Linked DNA regions of Astyanax mexicanus. The protein of the gene in region 1 binds, or shares a complex with, the protein of each later gene. Links are inferred from orthologs where the notes say so. Each region holds a gene or a part of one and is shown on either strand. Other genes may lie near its edges.

The links.
Region 2: nsmce1 (region 1) and nsmce2 share a complex: the UniProt entries of both Homo sapiens proteins name them as parts of the SMC5-SMC6 complex. The link is inferred for Astyanax mexicanus from reciprocal best matches to the Homo sapiens genes NSMCE1 and NSMCE2.
Region 3: nsmce1 (region 1) and nsmce4a share a complex: the UniProt entries of both Homo sapiens proteins name them as parts of the SMC5-SMC6 complex. The link is inferred for Astyanax mexicanus from reciprocal best matches to the Homo sapiens genes NSMCE1 and NSMCE4A.

The regions. Positions count from the first base shown.
Region 1 is NC_064410.1:58,237,597-58,241,353, reverse strand, and holds the start of nsmce1 (non-structural maintenance of chromosomes element 1 homolog), read right to left. Parts: upstream 2,727-3,757; 5' UTR 2,645-2,726; intron 1,724-2,644; 5' UTR 1,700-1,723; coding exon 1,582-1,699; intron 346-1,581; coding exon 224-345; intron 142-223; coding exon 64-141; intron 1-63. UniProt on the Homo sapiens protein: RING-type zinc finger-containing E3 ubiquitin ligase that assembles with melanoma antigen protein (MAGE) to catalyze the direct transfer of ubiquitin from E2 ubiquitin-conjugating enzyme to a specific substrate.
Region 2 is NC_064413.1:4,744,750-4,748,506, forward strand, and holds the start of nsmce2 (E3 SUMO-protein ligase NSE2), read right to left. Parts: upstream 2,806-3,757; 5' UTR 2,458-2,805; coding exon 2,343-2,457; intron 1,607-2,342; coding exon 1,494-1,606; intron 1,405-1,493; coding exon 1,257-1,404; intron 583-1,256; coding exon 488-582; intron 1-487. UniProt on the Homo sapiens protein: E3 SUMO-protein ligase component of the SMC5-SMC6 complex, a complex involved in DNA double-strand break repair by homologous recombination. Is not be required for the stability of the complex.
Region 3 is NC_064414.1:35,024,789-35,028,545, forward strand, and holds the start of nsmce4a (non-structural maintenance of chromosomes element 4 homolog A), read right to left. Parts: upstream 2,682-3,757; 5' UTR 2,421-2,681; intron 693-2,420; exon of another isoform or gene 657-692; 5' UTR 634-656; coding exon 417-633; intron 288-416; coding exon 207-287; intron 78-206; coding exon 1-77. UniProt on the Homo sapiens protein: Component of the SMC5-SMC6 complex, a complex involved in DNA double-strand breaks by homologous recombination. The complex may promote sister chromatid homologous recombination by recruiting the SMC1-SMC3 cohesin complex to double-strand breaks.

The DNA.
Region 1 (3,757 bases):
TCTTGACTCTTGGCACATCAGTGTATAAGCGAAAGCCTATTAACTCTGAAGTTAATTATTTACCGTTTTCCTGAACAGCTCCAGCTCGTTATCAGCATAATCAGAGGACATCCTTGTTATGTCAGTTTCGGCAGTGTTCACCTGAATAAAAAAGAAACACTGCATTACACATCTGTTAGAACTGATGCACTGCTGCTCATCTATATTTCACTACATCACTCACCAAGGCGTAATACTGAACTCCATCCTCTTCTGACATGCCTTTCCTGATGTACATGAACATCGGCTGGAGATTAGCATTGATGACATCAATGAATTCATCCAGTCTATCTGCTGAATAATGCGCTGCAGGGGAACACCAAAAAAAAAAATACATAAACAAAAACGCAAATTTACAAAGTAATAAAAAGATCTGGAATGGCCAATAAAAGCCTTGATCTTAATCTTAACGAGGTGCTGTGGGATGATTAAAAGCAGGCTATGCAGCAAAACACTCAGACATCACAAAGCTGAAATAATCCTGCATGGAGGAGTGGGAAAACTCTTCCAGTCAATGACTGTTAGATGGTTAATAAATAAGTATGAATAAGTATTTCTATTTAATTAAAAAAAACTTTTATAAATATTAGATTTTTAAAATACATTTTTTCACTTGTCTGTTTAGTCATAATTACCTCTAAATATTGTTCATCTCAGTGTGCCATACCATATTACATGCAATAATATTACCAAATATTTGATGCAATAAATTATTTATTATTTTTCTGTGTTCTTGAATGCAGATTTGTTTGTATTTGTTTTGCTATGTACTGTATTTACCTGTTTGCAGTTATATGTAGGCAATACATTTACTGAAATTTAGTTCTGTAGTAGATGTTTTGTTGTAACATTACTTTGTTTTTGTTACACTTATTATTTTATACAAAAAACAGAGTCTTGGCAAGTTACTGTTTACAAAACGAACACACATTTATAGATTATTGTTTTTGTTTGTTTTTATTTAATGTAAAAAAACTCGTCTTGTTGCATTAGTATATTCTTTTTTATAAATATATATATTTTTTTTTTATTCAGTGTCATATCGACAAGAATATTATCAAAAATAAAAAAAATATATATTCTGATATTATGTTAGGGCCATATCACCCACCTCTAGTCCATATGTATGATATGTTTTGTTTTTTTTATTCATATGACTAAATTCAAACGTACTAGAAGCTTCATTTCTACTCTAATCCTTAATAACACATCTACTTTTCATATTTTTTATATTACACTATGCTTCCAGTAACTGAGGATATATTTTAGATTTAGTTTGTCAGTGTGTCTACTTCAGCATTTCATTATGACAGGGTATTTTAGCTTTTTAATCAAAATTCCCAGTGTTTCATCCCTGGACAGTTAAAAGTCTGGACCTATGTTCCCTTTATTAATCCTAAAATGTGGAAGTGTCAATGTTGTCCTGACTAAACATACAATGAAAAACAATGTGGACTTAATCAATAAGAATATCGGGAACAAAAAATATGTGATTATTTTGTGTATGTGGATCTTATTAAATAATACTAAAAGGCTACAAACCTCCATGGGTTTCACAGCAATGTCGATGAAGTGCTTTGGCCTGGATGCTGCTGATGATCCCATTACTCATTAACGTTTGCAGGAACCGCTTATGGCTGTCTCCCATTGGTCGGGACATTATGAAACTTTTTTTTTTTTTTGCCTAAAATGGAAAAAAATAAAGCATTTAGGATTACAAATGCAAAAATAAACTAAATCTACATGTAACACTGAGAGATATTTATAAAAGTAAATAATCACTAGATTTTCAAGATACACTACAGTTTTAGAATACCACATGTACCTTACTAAAGTAAATAGATCCATGTTTTCTAAGTACTGCTACTCGAGATTAAAATACTAATATAGTTTCACTAGTTTGGTAATTCCATAACTCCACCTGTGATCAAACTAAAACTTCCAAATACAAATTCTCATAGGAGAAACACACACACAATACTGAACACGCACACACACAAAATACTAAACACACACAAAATACTAAACACGCACACACAATACTAAACACGCACACACACAAACAAAATACTAAACACACACACACAATATACTAAACACACACTAAAAACACAACACTAAAGACACACCACAGAAGATAAAACAAAAAACACACTAAACACTGAACACACACACCCAAAACACACAAAACAGACACAAACAAACACCTCCATAAAAGTTGGGCTAAAGCAAGTCAGTGAACGCCATGCAGCTGATAAAGGACAATTTTACAAACAACCAGTTTAATTACAGTAATTAACAACAATAATTACTATATTATTATATTTACTATCATTACATAGTTTTTGCTGTGTGTTATCACCAGTGTTCCAGTAAATATCCTAAACTAGCTAAGCTAAGCTACTATCTCAGGCTAACAGTGCTGTAGCTAAGCTAAGCCAGGCTAGGCTAAGCTAATGCAGTAAAAAGGCTGTCTACGCCCATAATATAGCTAATAAACTTTCCACCCGCATATTTTACACACTTTATTCTCTTAATACAGCCTCTCACACTATTCTCTAAGTCACTCTAATCTACTCACACAGCCCCAGTTCCCCCAGTTTACCTGCAGCAGGACTTTGTAAACTGCTTTCAATCTGCCGCCGCGAACCTGCAGCAGCTCAAACACTTCCGCTCCTTCCGCTCCGGGAGCAGAAATATGACCGGTGTTCTGTCGATTTTAGCAAACTGGTCAAACTATGCTACCCTAGTGTGTACTTAAAGGTAAAATGCTAAATATTATAAAATATTAGATCATGCTCGCAGTAGAAGTCTCGGTATGATATTTGAACAGCTTATCGCTGTATCAGGATATTTAGGAAATATATTTTGTCATTAGAAACCAAACGTTTGTATAGTTTTTTCTTATATTTTTTACATGGTTGTAACATTCAAACAAACGATGCCAGCAAGTCCAGATTGTACAGTGCACCCGAGAAAAAAAAACTAAATGATCAGGAAAAACATATAAAAATAGTAAACATGAGAGTTTAACGCATGCGCAGAGCCGCTAAGTAGCACAAACCAATGGGTAGCACAACTCGACAGAACACCGGAGAACATTTTAGTCCTAGCCCCGGCTCAAATCAGCGCCACTTTATCTATAATCTTAGATTATAGCATTAGTCCTTGATTCATTAATGATTTAATATCATACTTATTGTAATACTGGCAAAAATATAAATAAGTTTAAAATAAAATAAAATAAAATAAAATAATAATAATAATAATAATAATAACAACAAATATACAATAATATTAATAATAATAATAATAATAATAATAATAATAATAATAATAATAATAATAATGTATTAATTTTTTTAAATAAATGTGGACCTTTAAAGAGGCACTAAACCATATTTTTTCCCATTAATAGCCTAATATCTAGTCCTGCCTAAAACTTTTTATAAACCTTTTCTAACCTTTAAAAAAATGCTTTTATTGCGGTCATATCAGAGGCACATATCAGAGGCACACAGCCCAATCAGCCTTTTCTCCTGCCCCGCCCCCGCCGCCTGCCTAAATTTCCTTCGGGATCAATAAAAAAATAAAATAAATCTTAATGTGTTTGAGAGCATCAGTTGTGTTATAAAGAGGCAGGGTTGACATTTGAATCAATACATATTTTGGCAAGAATTATTCAACTAAGTAAAGAAAAAAAAATATTTAAGGAATG
Region 2 (3,757 bases), on another chromosome or scaffold:
GTCAAACCACTCAAATTTTTATAAAAGTAATACATAATATGCACTCACACCATGAAATGTTCCTGAATTTACTTAAATTACGTAATAAACAGACTTTGATTAAACCTTTGCATCCAACCACAGAGCTTAAACAAGATGCATTTATGGAAAATAAAAAAGAAATATGACCAAATTAACTAGGAAAAATAATGTGATTAATGCTAATACATTATTTTATCATTTAAAACCCCAGTAGTTGCGCAAAACACCCAAGAAAAAAAAAAAAGTATTTTGTTAAACTGCCATTTTTTTTAATCGCTGTGATTGAAGCACGCATTCACTGTGGCATTATTTCAATAAGCTTTATTAGTATTATTAATAATGTTAAAATGCTGTGGTATTGTTTCAGTATTGTTATTGAGATATTTAGGCAGGTATCATATCCAAAGTCAAAATGTTGGATTTTGAGACAACACTATTAATGTATCTGTTAAAAGCAAAAGTTTACCTGGGTAAGAGGACATGTGAAGTTTGTCTGGCTCTGTGTAACAGCAATGTCTTCATCCAGCTCCTCTTCAACATGGGCAGCCGCTGATTGGTTCACTAAAAAAACACACATGAGAACTGTTTAATTACCTTTTTATCTCAAACAACTGCTACCTAAATGAATCCGATTAATACAATAGTATAATAGTACAATAATACACTGCTGGCTAAACAAAAAAGTGGTATTAAGAAACTGGGTACCACTTTAAAATAAGACTACCTTCATAAAGGGTTTATAAATGGTTTACTATTCGTTTATTAATGGTTACTAATTAGGTTGAAAATGCCTTAAAAATCATTAATAATCAGTTATAACACATATACGTAGAAAAGGCAACAATACAGATGGCTGTGTAATATAGTTCACTATTTGGCAAACAACAGGTCACTGTCCTTTCTCTGTATGTGTTATAACTGATTATTAATGATTTTTAAAGCATTTACAACCTACTTAGTAACCATTAATAAACTAATTGTAAACCATTTATAAACCCTTTATAAAGGTAGTCTTATTTTAAAGTGGTACCAGAAACTGAAACCAGGTAGATGGGAATCATTAAAAACAAATAGTTGATTTTTAGTAACACTGTCATTTTGATTGTAGCTATTCTACCAATAAATGAAAGAGGAAGAGTTTTCCTACGACAGAGATCATCATTTATTGTTTTGAGTTTAATGAGTTGAAATCGCTGTACTGTGTTTGAGACAGGAAGAGACAGTGTGTACGATACCTTGTGCCAAAGATTTCCTGATGTTGTCTCTGAAAGCCACTACTTTGCTGTGTCTCTGAACGTCTGAATCCCTGTCCTTTAGTTCAGCAAAGCGATTCTTTACAGAGTTTAACAGCGAGAACATGGCCTGTGGAGGTTCTCGTCTCACCTGCAGACACAGGAGAAAATACAAGATGAATTAGAGGGATAGAAAAAAGTATATTAGAATTAGAATTGAAACGATCTAAAATTACTAACATGAGCTGTCGTCTGCTCAACAGATTCCACAAAACAGTTTATCTCTCTGTCCAGAGCAGCGCATTCTAACATCATCTGCTCCAATTTTCTTAAACTCGGACTGTCATCAGTGCCTGGAATAAAACAAATAAAAAGAATCATAGCAACACAGCATCTGAATCTACACACACTCTCAACAATTACAAGAAACATCAAGCATGTTTACAGTGCTGTAAACCATAAAGCTTCGCATTAAACCAGTAACTCGGTTAATCAAATTACTTTAGTAATAAACTCAGTATATGATGAGAAAAAAACGTACGGAATGGCATTATTAAAGTCGTAATATTTCGAGATTAAAGTCTTGATATTACGACTTTAACCTCATAACATTACAACTTTCATCTCCCAATATTACGACTAAACTCAGAATATTACGACTTAAATCTTGTAATATTACGGCTTTATTCTCGCAATAATTAACCTTACTTTAAGAAATTAAGGTCAGTCAATCTGAAACATTTCAAGAGCTCTTAAAGTATCCTCAAGTGCAGTCACCACAAAGACCATCAAAAACGTTATGATAAAACTGGCTCTCATCAGTAACGCCCCAGAAAAGGAAGAGCAAGAGTTACCTCTGTTGCACAGGAAAGTTCCAGTCACAGATAAGTGGGACCAAAATAGGTTTTATGGTTTGTTTAACACTTTTTACTCGTTTACTACACGACGTGTTCCTTTATAGTCTAAAATACTTTAACATTTATTTACAATGTAGGAAATATATAACTGTATGTATAAAAGGCTGTATTTGATTAAAGATTAGTTAGTTAATTAGTTAAGGTTAGATTTAGGTAAATAGCTGTACTGTACCTTGGGCTTCCACCAGATCCAGAGCGACATCTGACACGATGTCCATCCCTGTCCCAATATCCACCTGACATGTCTTCAGACTGGACAGCGCGGGCTGAACTGAACTCAACGACATAATTTAACGCTAACTGTTACCTCTGTGATTTCCGGCTACAGCGGACTGGTTAAGAAACTGAATTAATCGGAAAGTAAACCGGTTTGACCTGCGAGTGGGTAAAGCGTGTTTACAAGTTAGCTAGTTAGTTAGTTAGCATGTTAAGCTAACCGTAGTTAGATAATTTATCCGAAACAACCGGGTTCAGCCAACAAAACAAGCGTACACACACGTAGCTAAATATAGTATAATAGTGTTAAAGTTGTTAAAAGGTTTATAAAAACTAGCCCGACACAAATAACCAGTTTATTTTACTTCAGATAGCGACTCAAAAACAAATCAGGCTCCTGCAGCCCGCCTCAACTACTGCGAGTGACGTGAAGACAAAATAAAAGTCCCCCCCACTCTCTCTCTCTCTCTCTCTCTCTCTCTCGCTCTTTCTTTTTTTCTTTCTTTCTCTTTCTTCTCGCTCTACAAATATACAGTACCAGTCAAAGATTTTTTTCCTACTATGAAATAACACATAATGAATCGTGTAATTAAACCAACTAAAAATACTCTGAGAAGCACTTAGGCGGGCTCAACTAACAAACACTATTTAAAAAACAGTTTACTTCGATAATAAACTAGTAATATGACGAGAGAAAAAGACGTATGGAATGACATTATGAGATGGCATTAAAGTCTTAATAAACGTGTAATATTACAACATTATTCTCGTAATGTCACACCTTTATTCCTGTAATATTATGATAATATTTTTACTTTAATTTCGTAATGTGACTTAAATCTTGTAACGTTATGAAATTAAACTTGTAATGTCATGACTTTAATCTCGTAATATTACGACTTTATCCTCGTAATATTACAACTTTAATCTCATAATGTTATGACTTGAATATTGTAATATTATGCCTTTAATATCGTAATGTTATGACTTTAATCTCATAATGTAATGACTTTAATCTCGTAATGTAATGACTTTAATCTCATAATGTTTTGACTAATCTCGTAATGTTACGACTTTAATCTTGCATCATTTGTTAACCCTTTTTAAAGTTTATTACATTATTCCTCATGTGTTCTTTCGCGGTCTCGGGGCTTTTATTTTGACATGCACGCGCAGGAGACGCGGACAAATCGCAGCAAGAACCGTCATTTGGCGTCGCGGCCGCAGCCTATCGACTCCTGCGGGGCCACGTCATGTAAACGGAGTAAAAGCGCGTCCGACCGACACTCAACCAAAATAGAAGCAGCCGAACCGGGTTCACCCCGATCCGCCGCGATCCGCCGCGATCCGCAGAGCCGCAGCGCCGCGCTC
Region 3 (3,757 bases), on another chromosome or scaffold:
GCTGGCTTTTTCCCTTCCCAGGTCTGTGGCAAGAACCAGCAGCTGAGCATCCAAAGCAGCTTCTCGAGCTTGCCTGACTGAAAAGGAAACATACAAAAAAAATCAATACATTTACACACAAATAAAAGTCAGTTATGTCATAAACCTGCCGTCACAATATGTAGAACACACGGTTGGTCAATATAAAAAAAAAAATACGTATTTACCATTAGCAAACAGTTTGTTGGCTTCTTCTAACACATCAATCAGCTTATTGTTGGCAGGGTTCAACATGTCCTCACGATTTTCTGGGAACAACAGTCAGGCATGTTAGTACAAATGACTCAGACTAGATACACAGAAGTGTAAAAGTAGCAGCAAGTTGGCAACACTAAAAAGCACAGCTGTGTAGAAAAAAACACAATTGAGGTGCTCACGCTGGACAGAGTTGATGAGGTCCCTGTACTGGCTTCTGATCTCCCTCCGACGGGCCGGGTCATCATCTTCCTCATGGATCCCTGATGGACCAGCACCCTCATCCTCATCACCCGTGTCTGCTGCTCTCTCGGACCTGCTGCGTCCTCCTACTCCATTGGTATGTGCAGCAGACTCCTCCTGACTTCCTCTGCTCACTCTCCGCCTTGACTCAGACATCTCCCGACAGAGCGGTAGCGGTTCTGTATGTAATAACGGTGGTCAGATTCTTCAGTTGCCTAAATGAATGAACCAAAATAAATTCAATTAGCCTGCGTTTACATTACAAGCCACAAATCCTCCAATCCGATTTGCTCAGATGGGATTTGGCTATCTTGACGGTCCACATTCACAATTGTAAGTGACCTGTATCTGTGTGTAATCTGTGAACTAATCGGTCCCTCAAACGCCTCACATGCGCACATTGATACATATACAAATGTCGCATTCTTCACTAACAACAAAAAATTCATAATTGGAAGACAAATTGTTGCTTTATAAAGGTGAAATTTATGTGTTAGCTGCTTATAAGTGGAGGAAAAAAAACAGATCTGAGTCATATTGAGCAAAAAAAAATGATTTGAGTCACTTCAGCCTGGTAATGTGAATGAAGCCTAATTTAACAAATAGCACATTTAGACAACTCTCTCTAACTTAAGTTAAATGAACTAAATGTCATTCACTAAATTTAAAATAAATAATTCTAATAGTTCTAATGTTTCAGAAGCTATTCTGAGATCTTATGAGTTATAAATTGTTGTTGTTTCATTTAAACCTTCTGTTATGTTCATTTGCCAGGGACAGCAATGGTGTTCCCAGGTCAATTTGACCCGGTGCATGCATGTTTAATTATCCAAAAGATGTCGGAAAACTCCTAACAAGCAGTGTACATATTTAATTACTAACTCTATTACTAATTATTCTATCAATATTTAGTGCCTCTATCAGGTAATGGTTTACTTAGGATAATTCACTCGTTTTTTTTTTTTTTAAGTTTCACTTTTGAAAGACCAACATATACAATTCATAGTTTTACATAACACTGAAACATTACACTTCAATTTTGTTTTAGTTTTTGGTTTTTGCAGGGGGTGGTTGCAAATGTGAGAGATGAATCATTTTCATATTAACTTTTATGTTGAATACACTAATTATAGCAAGCAGAAAAAGTTTCATACTAAAAAATACTTTTAACTAGGGGTGGGTGATATGGCTCTAAAATAATATAATGATATTTCACAGTATTTCTGTGATAACTATACTCTTGGCGATATGACAAAACATCGAAATACAAAAAAATTATTTTCAAAATTATACTACTGCAACAAAATTAAAATTACATTTTATTATTGCATACGATATGACTTGGCACACCCCTAACTGAGATATTTAAAAATACAAGAATTTTATCAGATTTGTAACAGAAGTCAATGATCCACAATGTCATGATACTAACAATAATGCACTCCAGATATCTCCATATTTCCAGGATTAAAGTTAAATAAATGATATTGGACAGATATAATCTGTCTCTAGTAGATCTATAATGGGAAACTATATATTTTTGGAATGTCACAATATTCGAAAAATGTCTGCGGTATTATTGCGTACGACACGATATCGCACACCCCTACTTGTAACTATTTTTTCTAGATCTTCAAACTTTAAAACGGGTCTATTTGACCCGTAGCATAACAGAAGGGTTAACGCTGTGTTACATCAAGTATTTTACCTTAAAATATTAGTTAGCTAGCTAACCGTCATGTTCCCACAATAATAATAAAAAAAAACATAAATGAGCTGATCATGTATAAATTTATCTAAATCAATTTTAAATGTGGCATCAATATTCAGAAATAGCTGTGGGATAAATGGTTAGCAGTTAACAGCCTTCACAATTAAAGAGCATTTAGAACAGTAGTTAAATAGCTAGTTGTTAGCTGTTTAGCTAGCTGGCGATACATTACCCGCTGCTGCTGTTATTAGTGAGCTGAACTGGTGCCGCAGAGATTCTGCAGCTCCCGCGCGGCTAGTTAACACTAGCGCTTCACTAGTGACTCAGACACCACTAAACACATCTGGAAACACATATCGCTAACATTAAATCCATCTACTTTTTAAGATTATAGTTAATAAACAGCTATAAAGTGAGGCTGCTTCCAGAATCCAGCTCTAAGCACTGAGCTAGTTGTGTCTTCGCGGTAAAATAAACACGGAAGTCGGTTTCGTTCCGGGTTTCGTGCAGCGTTCAAGACCCTCTGGAGTTTGTTTCAGAATGTTTACCAAATGTATTATACTAATTCTCTTTGAATCCCTTTATTTATTTATTTATTTAATTATTTATTTATTGTTTTATTTTCGCGTATTTTTTGTTGTTGGATATATTACAACAATATAAATCTTACTTATGTGCTTTTTATAAATGTATATAAGTTATATAGAGAGAGCATGTTTCCACGAGGCTGAAGTTGGTTTGATATTCGCAGCTCCAGATTCGTTTGGCTCGATATTCGCAGCCTCGTATTCCCCGGCTGAAGTTGGTTTGATATTCGCAGCTGCCGCTTCACTGAACCACCGTGAACTAAAGGGAGCGTTCACAAACACCCGCTGTTTATATTAAACACCTCACAGATCAACACTGAAGGAGATAGAATGAAGAAAAGCAGTACATCTGTTTATTAACAATGTAAATATACAATATATTATTAAATATAATTTTGTATATTGTAAAATATTTATTTTAATTACTGAATTTATAATTATATATTACAATAAATAATTAAATATATGATTAATAAAATTATATTTTAAAAGCCATTGCGCTCAAAAAATATGAGGCAGATGTTCAAGTGTGATTTTGAAGAACTTTTTCATGTTGGGCCAGACCAAATACACATGATCTGAAGAGTACTAGTCTTCTACTTTAAGGAAAACCTGGAAGTAGCCTGGCCCGAGCTGATTTTATACTTTAAAATGAACTGGCAACATAGCATACCGATCCATAATGCACAATTTTTTTTATGAAAAGCTGATGTTCCAGTGTGATTTTGAAGGACTTTTTAACCTTGGGCCAGACCAAATACACATGATCTGAAGAGTACTAGTCTTCTTCTTTAAGGAAAACCTGGAAGTAGCCTGGCCCGAGCTGATTTTATACTTTAAAATGAACTGGCAAACTTTGAAAGACTTTTTCATCTTGGGCCAGAACACATACACATCAGATGAAGAGAACTACTCTCCCACTTTGAGGAAAACCTGGAATTAGCCTGGCCCGAGCTGATTTTATACTTTAAAATGAACTGGC